Linked DNA regions of Elephas maximus indicus. The protein of the gene in region 2 purifies or fractionates together with the protein of the main gene of each other region. This does not show direct contact. Links are inferred from orthologs where the notes say so. Each region holds a gene or a part of one and is shown on either strand. Other genes may lie near its edges.

The links. The genes of interacting proteins can lie anywhere in the genome.
Region 1: the proteins of DDX5 (region 2) and IGF2BP3 fractionate together in Homo sapiens (co-fractionation; 3 studies listed by BioGRID, with this or other methods). This does not show direct contact. The link is inferred for Elephas maximus indicus from reciprocal best matches to the Homo sapiens genes DDX5 and IGF2BP3.

Annotation. Positions count from the first base shown.
Region 1 is NC_064826.1:84,499,670-84,507,480, reverse strand, and holds the start of IGF2BP3 (insulin-like growth factor 2 mRNA-binding protein 3), read left to right. Parts: upstream 1-4,793; 5' UTR 4,794-5,223; coding exon 5,224-5,398; intron 5,399-6,928; coding exon 6,929-6,989; intron 6,990-7,811. UniProt on the Homo sapiens protein: RNA-binding factor that may recruit target transcripts to cytoplasmic protein-RNA complexes (mRNPs). This transcript 'caging' into mRNPs allows mRNA transport and transient storage.
Region 2 is NC_064837.1:55,713,896-55,720,987, reverse strand, and holds the start of DDX5 (probable ATP-dependent RNA helicase DDX5), read left to right. Parts: upstream 1-4,092; 5' UTR 4,093-4,277; coding exon 4,278-4,321; intron 4,322-5,538; coding exon 5,539-5,704; intron 5,705-6,066; coding exon 6,067-6,163; intron 6,164-6,248; coding exon 6,249-6,382; intron 6,383-6,513; coding exon 6,514-6,579; intron 6,580-6,973; coding exon 6,974-7,092. Other genes in the region: CEP95 (centrosomal protein of 95 kDa), read right to left, coding at 1,156-1,284, 3,243-3,261. UniProt on the Homo sapiens protein: Involved in the alternative regulation of pre-mRNA splicing; its RNA helicase activity is necessary for increasing tau exon 10 inclusion and occurs in a RBM4-dependent manner. Binds to the tau pre-mRNA in the stem-loop region downstream of exon 10.

The DNA.
Region 1 (7,811 bases), on a different chromosome or scaffold from region 2:
AATTATAAACCCACCAAAGACAGCAGTACTTAGAATACACTGAGGCTGTTTACCTTTGCAGTTAATAAAATTAAATATTATTTCGTTTGTTTTGTGCTTTTCCAAGCCAAATGTATATTTATTTTTTCTCACCGTTTCCACTAAATGTCAGTAAAATTAGAACATTTCAGCTACACGAATCACTAATCCTTCAAGATCGGTCTCAGCTTCATTGGTCCTAGAGCAGCTTTAACGAAATAGTTGTCGCGGCATAGTTGATTTTACCCGTAATTTTTCGTTTGCCTTTTTTTTTTTTCCTTGCAGGGGTTGTTTGGTTTTGCTTAAAAAGACCCTGGGGAGCACAAAGGGGGCTAGGAAGGGAGGGGGCAGGACGAGTGAATTTCTCTAGAAGCCAAGGGAAGTCCAGGCAACTGGAAACGCATTTTTTGGTTGTTTTTACAAGAAGAAAAAAAAATATATATATAAATTCTAAGATGTTGGAAACAGGCAGGGAAACGAAAATGTGACTCCAGTTGCTGAGCATGGCGCAAACCGACGACCTCCGGTCGCTGGACGTTGGGGGAAGGGAAAGGAATTGTGCGGGCACCACGCGGTCAGCCCAGGGGGCGGGGTCCACACACCGCAGAACTATTTTCTACACCTCCCTTTCAGCTACCATCTTCTTTCCTCCCTGGGGATTGGAGCTGGGAGCAAGCAGTTAATAGGGTAGGGAGAAATGAGAGTAAGAATCTCACTCCTCAACAACAAAACCATCGAGAGGGAGCAAAGGGTTATTTTCGCGCCACAAAAGATGGAAATCCAGGGGCTGCTCGGGGGCCAATGAATGGAAACCAGCAAACGAATCCGGCGGAGGTAGCCGACGGTGATAGGCTCCCTTTCTGCACCAATCGGATAAGAGGGAGAAGCCCCCCGCCCCCTCCTTCAGCCAGGGGCGGTGTTTCTCTCGACGCCGGTTGCTCAACTTGGTCTCGGCGAGTCAGCCTCGCGGAGCGCGGGAGCCCCGCCCCGGGGCCGCGTTTGCGCGCCCTGTGCGCGCATCTTGCTGCCCCGCCCCGCCCCGGACAGAGGCGCAGGGTTCGGTGATGGCTTTTTGCCTTTTTCCGTGGGTACCAAGCATCCCCTTGCGCCAGGCAGTCCCTCGCACACATGAAGCTGAGGCCGGAGGTGCGGGAAGGCCGTCAAACACGCTGCTTGGTCTGTCGGGCCGCGGGGGAAGGAGGACTTCAGGTGGAGTCGTGCCGCCGAGGAAACGACTGAGGTTTCTCCCGGCGCTCACGTCCCACCGGCCTTGCGGCTCCGCGCCGAGTGACGGGACCCGAGGCGAGGCCCGGGGGAAGGTGGATCAATGGTCAAGGCCCTTCGTGGCGAGCAGGCGGCCGACGAAGGACCTTCCCCAGTGTGCTGTAAGGATCCCGCCCTCTTTCTCGGGGAAGAGCCAGAGGAAAAAGGAAACAACCCCCATCTTCTCGTCTCCCGGGGCACCATTTTTAATTTCAAACGATAATAAACGAAGGTAGATTCTGGAGAGTCACGTTACCCCTTATCACGCCTCTGGTTTAAACAGATCAGAGTCCAGGAGAGCCATTCGAAGGAGCAAGAGCGTGTTAAAATACCTCCTGTGAGGCCCATGCGACGCGGCGGGCATTGTGTGCCCACCCGCATGAAGGGCTTAGGCTCCCAGCTTGTCTCACGGCAGCTGGGAGGAAGGACGGGTAGGAACAGGAATGTCCTTTCCCCTTCCTGCGCAGCCCTCGCAGATAACCTGTGGATACAGCAATGGTAACCGATCTTCTCAACATAGTTTTTCTCCCTTAATGTCACACTGACCCCCTAAACATTTTTATTGCGATTAGATCAGCAGATAAGGAGGTGCAGCTGTCCAAAGAGTAAACAGGCTGCAGATGGAAAAACTCAGCCGCAACTGAGATACAATAATCGGTGGGAGTCCTTTTTTCATGTCATCAACATTAACTAGGAGCTACAACTGCTTCAGGAGGAATCTGGAGTAGCCTATACACAGTTAATTTCTTGTGTGACACGTAGTGGAATACTGGAAGTTAAATTGACCTTATACTGACTCTTGAAAATCTAAAGATATTTTTGTACTTAAAGTGCCAATAAAAAATACTCATGCTCTTTTTGCTCTGCTATTGAGCTTATTATACTTATTCCTCAAATGCTTGGAAGATTCGAAGTGGACTGGCCTATATAGCGACCTCCTTTTGTTAGTGTCTGAGCTTATATAATGTGTATGTTTTTAAGATCCTAGATGGGGTATCCATTTTGTTACAATAATAGATTAAGTTCACAAGAGTCCCAGGTACATATTTCATCAAAACAACACACATTTTGTTTTAAATTCCAGCTGTTATAGGTTTGATAGTGACAGACTGGCATGGGCTAGTGTTATGGAAAATAAATCATCCACCCCATGCTTTAGAAGTATTTAGGTCTTAGTTTTAATAAGGGCAAATACAATCAATAATCCATCAGTCACCAATCGATTTAGAAAGCAAGCTGAACATACAAAATTTGTTCTTACAGAAAAATTACTAAAAGAATTAAACGATCAACAGACTTGTCTGTAAAATTTAAAGTAACATTTAGAAAAAGCAAAGATTATTAAGTGCACATTTCTCCAAATAGTTTTGATCACATGCAACAGGTACACGAAAAAGAAATATATTTTGATATTTACATTTGCATACCAAAGAAGTCATAAGGGAGAAGACGTATGTTTTTCTTTTTTACAACCATGGTTCCTTTAAAACACACACAAAAACTTTCTTTTAAAGTTAAACCTAACTATAAACTTGAATTTCACCACCAAAACGTTTTTTCAAGATAGGGCTCATAATATAGTTCTAAACACTGTTACATGTTTGTCCCCCATCTCATAAAGTAAAAGCATTTCATTAAATTAACCGTCAATGAAAATATTGTGAATGTGAGTATACATTTAAAAAAGTGGATTTGCTTGGCTGGAAAGAAAAACCTGTTAAAACAGTTGCACATAAAATGGATGATCTGACACCTTCCAGTTAAAATAAGACAAACTTATAAGTTCCTTTTAAAAGACAAAAGGTAAATACTTAATGCAATATATTCCTGTTTGTCTTTTATAATCTGCCATTCATCTTTTATCCCTGGAAATTACATCGTGTTAATAAAAAAAAATTTTTTTAAATGACACACACGATTTCGACAAAGAAACGAACTACATCAGTTGTAATTGTTTAAGATGTTTCCAGTTAAATCACATTATTTTCTCTATTACACAATACATCTTTTTCTACCGATAAGATTATCAAGTCATTAAAATTTCTTGTTTATATTTCCATGCTATAGACAATTTCATTCACTTAAAAAGGTTAACATTTGTGTCTTTCCCATGGAATACCTGTTAAAAACATATACCACAAGTATATGGTACAAATGAAGCCTTTGAGTGGTAGACAATTATTAAACGACACTTCCAGATTTCCCCAAGCACCCCAGCACTGCCTTCCTTTCCGTATTCCTCGTCCCCAGTCCACGTTTCGTCGGCCTGGAAGGCTTCACTGTGCCCAGACCCTCCCCCACAGACCCACCTTTGTACTCCTTACATGGAAAATTATGAATGGCTCTCATGCCCAAACGCTAGCAGAAAAAGAAGCAGAAGGAGACTCGTACAAATTTTGCAAAGGCGATTACCAGCTAGAGGTAACGCAGAGCGGTCTTCCTGTTTTAACAGTCTCTAGTTCGACAACTAAAATTATTTAAATAAAAGTACCACCCTACTTACTCCTCCCCCCGCTCTAGAAGCTACAGGAAGAGAGAGTTTCCCTTTAAGTATCGACTTTTCCCACTCTGACTTCTCTCCCTCAGCCTCCAAAGCCCCCGACGGCCCCATCCCTAAACCAGAAACCTCCGCCCTCCTCTCCCCCTCCCCCACCGGTGGCCGCGCCCGCCCCCGGCCTCATTTATCCCCGAGCCTTTTCTGAAACGCGCAACCAATGGCAAACGCGCAGCCGAGAGCCACAGGGAGCGGAGGCGGAGGCGGAGGCGGAGGCGGAGGAGGTGTCGCCCAGATACCCGCCCAGGACGTCGCTGGCTCCCATCCCCCACAGCCCCGGCCCTGGGATCCTGCAGACAGGCGCTCTCGTTTCCCCGGGCCGGGAGGGGTGAAGAGAACGGGGCGCTTCTGCCGTCTCTCCGTCCGCACCCACCCCACCCCCTCTCTGCGTTTCCGCCCCTGGCAGCCGTGGAAACGTGCTCGTGGCTTTGCCGAGGTTACACATAATGTCATCAAAGCCACAGGACTAGTTCAGAATTGTGGCTCTAGTTTTGTTAATCACCTACTTTAAAAACAGAATGATTAAAACTCAGAGTTGAGGAATCGTCTAGTTAGCACTCCCACTCTTTTACTCATTAAAAAAAAAAAAAAATCAACATTCCAACCCCCGCCCCTCAGGAGCCGCCCCGACCAGATAACCCTTTCTAAACTCTTGTTGTGACAATCAGCTCCCCGCTTAGCCTGGCGCCCGGCTGCGGCTTCCTTAGCATTTTTCCTCCTCCCCCTCCTCAGAGTCCCTTGCCTAATCTCGTTTCCCCTCCCCCTCTTCCTCCTCCTGCTTGCTCTTTCCCCCCCACTCCTCGAAACCCACTCTAATTGAGGCGCTGGGATTCCTCACGTGAGACGTTGATTTGTAGTTTGAACACGTGGCTCATTCAAAAAGCCGGACACTCGGAGCGGATTTTTTCCGCCTCCTGCGCTTTCTTCCCTCCTCCCCCTCTCCCCTCGCTCCTGCCAGTCACCCTTCTGGGTTTTTTTATGGGGAGGCGGCGCTCTGCCCTCACGTAGTGTGATATTTTCACAGTCCGCTGGCCGATGCCAAAGGGGTTGGGGAGGAAGAGACAAAAAGTAGTTTTTTTTTTCCCTCCTCCTCCTCTTTTCTCTCGCTAATCCCGCCTCCTCCTCAGAGTTAGGAAGACTCGTTCATGCGTCTGGGTTGTAGCAAGGCTTTTTCTTTTTCATTTTTCTTTTTTTGTACCTAGAAAAGGAGAAGCAAGAACCTTCAGACCTGATATTTCGCTCCCCGTTCTCGCCCTTGTTTTTTACTGGGTTTGTGCATTTTAAAGGCGAAAAGACGAGGGGAACAAAACCGCCAGATCCATCCATTGTGGGTGGTTTTAATTTTTCGTTTTTCTATTATTAGTTTTTTTAAACTACCAGTCTTCACAATGAACAAACTGTATATCGGAAACCTCAACGAGAACGCCGTTCCTTCGGACCTAGAAAGTATCTTCAAGGACGCCAAGATCCCGGTGTCGGGACCCTTCCTGGTGAAGACAGGCTACGCGTTCGTGGACTGCCCGGACGAGAGCTGGGCCCTCAAGGCCATCGAGACGCTTTCAGGTGGGCCCCGGCCTGGCCCCACCGGGGCGCCTGCCCCAGCCCTGCGCCGCCAGCCCCGGCCCGCCGAGGTCGGGTGCCCGGAGTCAGGCCTGTGGCTGCCGCCGGGGCGTCCGCGCGGGGCCCCAGGCCCGGCGAGGAGCCGGTGGAGGGTGTGAGGCCCGAGCGTCCACTCGTGTGGGGTCGGGGTGCTCTCAGATTTGGCTCTAGCTCCGCTCCCCCCCGTCTCCCCTCCCCCACCGGGGTTTGCCGGGCGAAGGTGGACCCGCTGTCAATAAAACCAGGGCCAGGGCTAGGAGGGGCGCGAGGGGCGGCTGCGGAGCCCGTGCGCGGGGATGGGGGGCGCGGCCGCCCGCACCGGACCCCCGTCAGCGCTGCCACCGCGCCCAGCCCGGGCCCAAGCGCGTTCTCTCGGTTTCCACACACCGGGCCGGGGGGGGGGGTGGGGGCGAGTGTGAATGCCTGCTTCGCCTTCCTTTCTCTGGTCGTTATTTATGGCGCTGGGTTCGCTGCAGACACCCAGACCCCGGCAGTGTGAGAAAGGAAAGAGGCTCGAATCTCTCAGCCGAGTGAGGCCGCGGGCTAGTGCCTTGCACTGGCGGCCCCGCGCTTCCTCCCGACCCTGCGGGAGGGGAGCGAGTGCGACCTGGCTTTCATTTTCAACTGCACTCTGTCGGACGAGCAAGCTGGGCAGGTGGGCGGGGGTGGCCGGTTGTAACCGGCGAGGGAGCCCCCGCTGCGGCGCTGGGCCGCCGGCGGCTCTCCGGAACCCGGCGCCCGGCTGCGGCCTCCGGAGTGGCGGCGCGCCCGTGGTGCCTGGCGAGGGCAGGAGACCGTGCGTGGCGGGGCGGCGGTCTTGGGCTGGGACTCCCAACAGGGAACCTACGCGGGGGTGCTTTTGCGAGCCCAGTGCCTTTCGGTGTCCCCCTTATCAACTCAGTACAGTTATGGGCGCCGCGCCGACCTTCGCGCGATGTTCAGTCTGGGCTGAGATGCAGCTCTGGGCGTTCGCTCTTCTACCCCGCCGCGCTCTCGACCCTTTCCCGCTACACTTCGTCCTTTCCAACCCTACCGCAAAGTGTTCCCGGCGGGCCTGGGCTTGAACCGGGTGAAAGGCCCGTGCGCCCCCTCCTGAAAGAAGCTAATGTAGCCCCTCTCCCTCCGTTTGTCGTATGGGAGTGTCCAGGGAGGTGGGAGGAGGGCCGCGTCCATTTTGCGGGTGTTGTGGGGTTGGGTGACCCTCTGAGTGGCCAGGGGAGGCTTGTCGGGAGGGGGTGGAATGTTACTGAAATAGTGGGCCTGCCAGTTGATCCCACTCCCCACAAATCTGTAAACTAAGCACACACACACACACATAGCCGGGAGGTCATGCACAGTGTAGGGTTCCCTCTCGGCCTTTAGCCGCGTCCGGGGCTTGGGGGCCTTTCGGGCTCTCAGGAGGCCACTCGTCGCTGCATAGGCTGTTGAGGGTCCTTTGGGTTCGAAGAGCCGCTGAACCCAGCCAAACGTTTCCCACTTCTTGTGTGCCCACAGGTAAAGTGGAACTGCATGGGAAACTCATAGAAGTTGAGCACTCGGTCCCAAAAAGGCAAAGGTGAGTTTAATAATTCTTTTGTCACGGATTCGTTACTGAAAGACTCCTTTTTTACACAGCTGAAAACAATTTTTTTTTTTTTTGCCTCCTATGCTTGTCGGGCTGCTGTGTGGCTTGGCGTTTCTCGTCATTTCCCCTCACTTTTAAGTTTATGGCAGCTGTGTGTGTGTGTAATGCTGCGAAGGAAAAGAGGGGTTGTCTGTGGCCCGGCAACTAGGTTGTTGAATATAGCAGTCTCTCAAGGAAGCTCTCACAGCTAAATATTCTCTGGCAGAGCAGGTCAAGTTACTGCAAGGGGAGATGAAGTCTCCAAGGGGAGTGTTTTGGGAATCCGGGATTTAGCAAGCAGTAAGCAGTGGATGACCGATGCCTGTAGGTACTGGGTAGGCGAAAGCAGCTGCAGAAATGCTCGGGTGTGGCATGCCCGCCCTTCTCTGGCCAAGTTGGCGACGATGAGTCTCTGAGTCTGCCAGGCCCTAGGCACATGAGAGGAGAGGAATTTGCCTTTACCCTGTTAGCTCACCAGCTGGGATTGGAACACGTGAGTGAACGCTTGGGCTTCTCCACCCTAGAAATGCCTTCCAGTCCCTCCAAAGTTACATAGGTTTCTGCAAACACCGCCTTTGTCTCCGCTTCCTTTTTTTTGAAAGACATTTTTGTTTACAAATCTACCACCGAGAGATCGTGAACTCTGATGATTTGTGCTACGTAAAAGCAGGGGGATTTCTCCTTCTCTGAGAGCATGTGTAGTGTCACTTGACAGAATATTTTGGAGACTGTTTTAGCCTCTGAAGCATTTTGGAGAAATGGCTCCTTTCTCCA
Region 2 (7,092 bases):
AATCTAAGGAAATGCTAATACTCTGATAAGCAAGGCAAGAAATGAAGTGAGACATTAACCTCTAGCTGTGGCTGCTTTCCCAGGGCACAATGAGATAAAAAGCAGCAGCAGCAGGTATGAAAAGAAGAGTCTATATCCTTTAAAGGAGCCTATTGGGATTTATGGTATAAAGCTCAGTACAGACCAGTGTGGAAAGACTTTAATATCAAGTTTGGAGTTTCATTTCTGGTATTAAGGAAAATGAATATTTTGGGACAGGATGAAAAAAGTATTTTAAAAGACTGGTCTAATAACTGCCAAAGAGAATTAGAGATGGTTGAAACTAACATCAAAGATACCAGCTGGAGGCTATCCCATTAATCCTGGAAATGAATGAGGACACCGACTCGTGGTAACAGTGGGAAAGGAAGACAAGCTACACAGTTCTTAGAGCACTTAGTGGTTATTCATGATTTAAAGAGACAGAGGCAGAAGAGGACTCTGTGGGTAAGGACTTTAAGAGAAATAACCTGGGATACAGCAAAATGATGTGGTATTCCTAGAAAAAATGAGCAAATAACAACTTTGCAAGATGATTAAAAAAAAAAAAACCATTGCACTCAAGTAGATTCTGACTCATAGCGACCCTACAGGACACGGCAGAACTGCCCCATAGAGTTTCCAAGTTGTGCCTGGGGGATTTGAACTGCCAACCTTTTGGTTAGCAGCTGTAGCTCTTAACCACTATGCCACAAGAGTTTCTTTCAAGATGAGAGGACACGTGAATTTATTTAAACTGTCTTCTTGGCAAATTAGGTTCATAAAATACAAACATTGACTCTCAACTCTAATATTAAGTTGTGTAACAGGACCCAACAAGTTCCACTCACATTTAAAACCTTTAAAGGTACATTTTCAGAAAGTGTGTGGCTTTCATAAGGTATTGGGCATAATTACACAGATTAAACAATGATTATCAAGAAGCGTCCAACTGATTCGATCAAGGCTGTTATAGGTGGGTCCCATAAAGTATTCATTAAGGTAATGAATGCAATATTTAGATAAAAATAAGATGTAAACAAAGAAAAAACAGGAGATTTTATAATTACCAAAAGGTTTAACTAAAGGCACTACAATCTTCTGGCCCAAACAATTACTTGTTTTTAGCATCCTTACCTGGTACCCTTTCTCCCAAAATTGATTGATAAAGAGCAATAAAAACGTTAGAATCACAGTCTTCAAGTGCATGTATCCGCAGGTGTATGTGACATTTCAAAAGAAGGTTATTGGCAATGGTTACCCACTCTGTTGGGAAAAGAGGGGAAAAGATCAACCTCAAATAGCATTAGAAAAAGTTACATACGTACTTTTAAAAACCAACAACCCCCCACCAAAACACTGAACTCTGTAGAAGATAAAGAATTTGATAGTTACAGAATTTCAAAGACCCTCCTAGGCATTTTAAAAGAAATATTTAATTTTGGGGGATGACTTCCAGGGAGCAATAATTTCAGTGTAGTCAACACTATGGGGTAAGTCCAATTTTTACTGTTGCAATCTGAAATCTTTGGTTATTTATGCATAGTTTTTTTTTTTTTTTAATAAGCCTTATATGTATTTTTTTTACAGAAGCCTTATTTAGGTAAAACATATTTACAAGTAAATAGGAATATTATGTAATAAAAACTAATTAATGGATGTTGCTTCACATTCCCAGTAGTACTGGACATGTTTTTACCCAATTCTCTTGTGCAAGTCAGGATTTCTCTGGTGCCCAAATAGGTGGTAATTAACCTAAGCTGTTAATCACTACTGCATTTTGTTAGTTTTTTAAATTACTGTATTTGATGTATATGAAAGGAAAATATGGGAACTACATAAACACATCCCCGTATCCATGACCTAAGGTCAGAACTAGCACATCACCAATACTGTTGAAGTTCTCTGTGTACCACCCTGTCCTTCCAACCCCTCTTCCCCAAGATACTTCTGGGATTAGCAAAGTGTTTCAAAAGTTTTCTCAACCAAAGGTAACTGAGAAAGCTGGAAATACTTGTTTCCTAAAATGATAAGCCATCAAGTGGAAACCAGCATTATTCAGTACTAGATATATCTTCATTATGTTCTTGAAACAAATGAGTATTATTGTGGGGGGGGGGTGTGGAGGAATAGAAATTTCTCTATCACTACTGTTTTCCTTCAAAGCGCACTACTCCTTCTCCCCATTTCCCATGGTTGACAAAACCATGACAACTGGTTTGTACGCTGTCCTGGAGAAAGCGTCCTAGACAACCGAATCAATTGCCTTCCAAAGCCGGTGCTAGACAAAGCCGGTATCTAGAGGGCACTAGAAAGAAAAAAAACCTCAGGGCTTCGAACCGATTCATCCCCCTGTTGAGAATTTGCATTTTCACCCCAGATATACTGAACTAGAATCTCCATTTTAACAAGATCCCCAGGTAAGTCTTAAGTATGTTAAAGTGTAGATTCTGACCCAGTATATCTGGGGTGAAAATGCAAATTCTTACGGGGTCGAACAGGAACGAACGGTTCGAGGCCCTGAAAAAAAAAAAAAAAAAAAACCACTGTTCTATATTGGGGAAACCCTGGAGGCACAGTGGTTAAAAGCTAGACTGCTGACCAAAAGGTTGGCAGTTCAATCCACCAGGCGCTCCTTGGAAACCCTATGGGGGCAGTCTGACTCCCTATAAATCAGAATCGACTGGACGGCATTGGCTTTGGTTTTTTATACTACATTAACAGGGACCTTAACAGATCTTAAAAGTGCTACTCTTCAAAAGTTCACTGGCAGATACGTAAGCTGCATAAGCGCTGGGTGGCTATGGGAGTACACCTACGAACGAAAAAAAGAGCACTACTCCTCAAAAACTCAATACAAATACAGGTACGGCCTCAGTCCTCGCAATGTAAGGACATCGACAGCCAGATACTCCAGAGAAGTCGGGAGACGATCTTTTCTGACTGCTGTTTTTGCGATCTGCATGCGGGTGTGTTGGCGGCTTCGTCAAAGAGCCCTCTCTCCCCCACCCCAAATCGCTGTTCCACCGTCACGAAGCAGAGAGCGGTGCTGGGACTCTTATCTCTGGCACCCGCAGACTGCGACGGGATATGTGACAATCATGAATCTCGCAGGCAGCCTAGACTTAGGTTCGGCCCGGCCCGAGGCCTCAAAGTGGCCTGGGGCGTTCGGGGAGTCGGACCGCTTCACTCCACACACAGCACGGCGCCAGGGCGAGACTCACCAGGCTCTGAGCCGGCCATGTCGCGGAAGCAGGTCGTCGCCGGGCTCCCAGCCGGGCGCGTGGGAGACGGTGTCCTGGAAGGGCCGCACAGCACAGACACACAAAAACGAGAGGGAAGTGTGGATAAAGAGGTGTAAAAGAGGGAGGGACGTTAAAACGGCTTCTCGCTGCTGATTGGTCATTGGAGGAGCACTCGCTTTCACCGCACGTGCCTCGGCGGCGGTTTGCGGGATCTAGATAACATTCTCCGCGGGCAAGAGCCTGCCAAGAGGTTCTTAAGTCGGTGAGTTTGACAGGTTAGGTCACCCACCCGCCTTGACCGGTCACCGGGGGAATTACAACGACACTTCCGGTGAGTTATTTGATTGTGTATTCCTCCGCTGACTGGGAAGTAGTGCGGCAATTCACCCGGTGGGCGGGGAAGCCAGTCACGTGATAAGATCAAGCCCCGCCTTCCCTTGTTTGGTTTTGGGCGTGAGGGCTGTTTGGAGACGTAAACATTTCCAGGTGGGGAGAGTAGGTTGTCCTGTAGTGGACGCTTGATTTTCTGGGTTGGACCTGGAAAAGGTTGAGGTGGATTGCTTAAGGTGTGTAAAGAGGAGAAAAAGGCGAAGTTTTAAGGAAATACAGGATGGGGCATTTCAGTGGCGGACGGGTCCAAATATGAAAGGGGAGAAAAACGTATGGCCCCAATGGATGGACTCGGAGGGGGAGGGGTGAGAACATGGCGGATTCCGGAACGCAGGCGGGCGTTGCGGCCTCTGCGCAGGGGGCGGGGCGATTAGGTCATAGAGCGGTTCCCAGCATCCTTTGCGGTGGAGGAGGCGGTCCAGACTATAAAACCGGCTGCCGGGAGGCGGCCGGCACCTCATTCATTTCCATCGGCCTTTCGTTATTCAGCTCTAGGTCTTGCTGTCGCCGTCTCTCCGCCGCTGACGCCCACGCAAGGGTTCGCCGTCGCCGAAGCCACCCCTAAGAGACTCTCCGCACCGGCTTTTTTCGCTTCGTTCCCCACCAACCGCAACCATTGACGCCATGTCAGGTTATTCGAGTGACCGAGACCGCGGCCGGGACCGAGGGTGAGTATGGGAACCGACCTGTCAGGCCCGACGAGTGGGGGATGGGCGGGAAGTGGGTGGCGGGGGCGCCGCCATCGGCACATCGGCTTTTTCGGCCTACGCCGAGGTCTTCTTAGTTAAGGGTTTGCGCCGTTGTGGTAGTTTTCTAAAACCGGTTAGGGAGGACTTGCTTATTAACGGCCTTCAAGCTGCCTTTTTTTTCTCCCCCGCCCCTGGAGCGGGGGCGGCGCGCCCTCGGCGATTTTGCAGTTGGGAGAATTCGGAGGCGTGTATCGCGAGGGGGAGGAAAACGGGATGCCTCGGGGTGGATCAAGTAGCCTCGGTTAGATGCACCCTTCCGGGAGGTGTTTTAGGGGTTCAGGGAATTCTGTGGAAGCGAGGGGCCCGCTTCCGCAGCCATTGAGGCGGTGAAGGCAGGAGGGTGGCTGGCGCCGCCGGATTCGCCCATGTGGCTGCGCCGCGGGTACAAAATGCCGGCCTCCGACATGGCGGCGGCGCCTTTGTTACCCCGCCCGGCGGAGGAGCTCAAAATGGCAGCGTCGAGAAAATGTGGCGCAGAGAGAAATGCGAGACAAAGGGGAAAGCGCCGCCCCAGCGGGAACGCCGCCCGACCGACTCCGCCCGGGCGGGACTCCTCCCCCGGTAGTCGCCGGCTCCTCCTCCTTTTTTTCCTTGTGTTATATAATTTACCTACCTTGATGGGGAGCTTTCCCAAGGGACACCCCCAACCCCCAACTCGATTCCCTTGCATAAGGGTCCCCGAGGCACCGTCCCCGTTGTTTTCTTTTTATTATGTCTCTGTGTTATCGATTGTTAAAACCAAAGTTAAAAAATAGGGGTATAAATAACATTTGTCTTGGGCTTGTCCTTTTTTGTATCATTTCGTTTCCTGGATGTTTAATTTCTAAACTGGTGGGAACCACCATAGTTACAAGCTATTGTCTATCCATCTAATCGGAACTTCCAGCATTTTGGTAGCCAGTTTCTGACATAATAAGTTGGGGGCTGTTTAGTGTTCTTAATTATGTGTATTTGAGATGATAGCAACTGAGATACACAATGGTAACCCTGATTGTTGAATGACAGCTAAGTGTAGTTTTAGGCTTTGTGTTCCTTAAGTCTGATTTGAGTGAGCTTTAGCAGGTGCTAAGAGATGGTAAATAAGTCTTTCAGCCCATAGGTAGAGATTGGAAGTCTGAATTATTCTGTAATTTCAGGTTTGGGGCACCTCGATTTGGAGGAAGCAGGGCAGGGCCCCTGTCTGGAAAGAAGTTTGGAAATCCTGGGGAGAAGCTAGTTAAAAAGAAGTGGAATCTTGACGAACTGCCCAAATTTGAGAAGAATTTTTACCAAGAACACCCTGATTTGGCTAGGCGCACAGCGGTGAGTAATTTCATATGGCTTCATCAGGCTATGGAACCCAGTAACGGCTTCTGGTAATAAGAAGCTGAGTGCAAGTGTCTTGCAAATGACTAGATTTGGGGAGATTCATACCTTCCAAGTTGATAATAGGGGAAAGCTGTGTGATTCACTTTTGGAAACAGGTGGCTTTGAATTTTCCTTGGAACAGTTATCTTAGGATAATAGGTGGTTTTTACGTGTTTTAAATACGGTTTTTGTACATGAATCTAGATTTTAAAATCACTCACTTTAAAGTAGCAAATCGTAAGTTTAGGGGCTTTCTAGTTGCATATTTAGTTAGGGTGGGTTGTTAGGAGACTTACGAGATTAATGTTGTTTTGCAGCAAGATGTGGAGACATACAGAAGAAGTAAGGAAATTACAGTTAGAGGCCACAACTGCCCGAAGCCAGTTTTGAATTTTTATGAGGCAAACTTTCCTGGTAAGTGTTTGTTCTGAATTTCACATTTACTATTTCTTTGTCTTGGCATTACTGAGTTTTGTTAAATTGCTGTCGCTATTTACAGCAAATGTTATGGATGTGATTGCAAGACAGAACTTTACTGAACCTACTGCTATTCAAGCTCAGGGATGGCCAGTTGCTTTAAGTGGATTGGATATGGTTGGAGTAGCACAGACTGGATCCGGGAAAACGTTGTCTGTAAGTTTTGAGAGAGCACTTTTGCATACCCTGTGGTATGTGCTAGAGAAAATGGCTTTGGAATTAAAAGACCCTGGGAGTATTTTAACAAAACTTCTGTTTTTTCCTCTGTTTTTCCCCACCCACAACAGTACTTGCTGCCTGCCATCGTCCACATCAATCATCAGCCGTTCCTAGAAAGAGGTGATGGGCCTATTGTAAGTATGTACTTCATGAAGTTCCATAGTAAGGAGGATATAGAAATTTGTAGAATATAGAGAAAAACAAGATAATTGGTGGTTTCGCGTAGAGAGATTAGTTGGAAACTCTGCTGTTTTGGCTTTTGGACAGCACTGTTGAGGAAACGGAAACCCTGGTGGCGTAGTGGTTAAGTGCTACGGCTGTTGACCAAGAGGTCATTATTTAAAATCCACCAGGAGCTCCTTGGAAACTCTTTCGGGGCAGCCTACTCTGTCCCATGGTGTCGCTATGAGTCAGAATCGACGGCAGTGGGTGGGTTATTGAGGAAATGATTTCCAGCATAACACTAATAAATTCACAATTGAAGATGAGAGTCCAGGTCTTTGCTAAAAGTTGTTTGTTTTTCCTTAGTGCTTGGTGCTGGCGCCAACTCGGGAACTGGCCCAACAGGTACAGCAGGTAGCTGCTGAATACTGTAGAGCATGTCGTTTGAAGTCTACTTGCATCTATGGTGGAGCTCCCAAAGGACC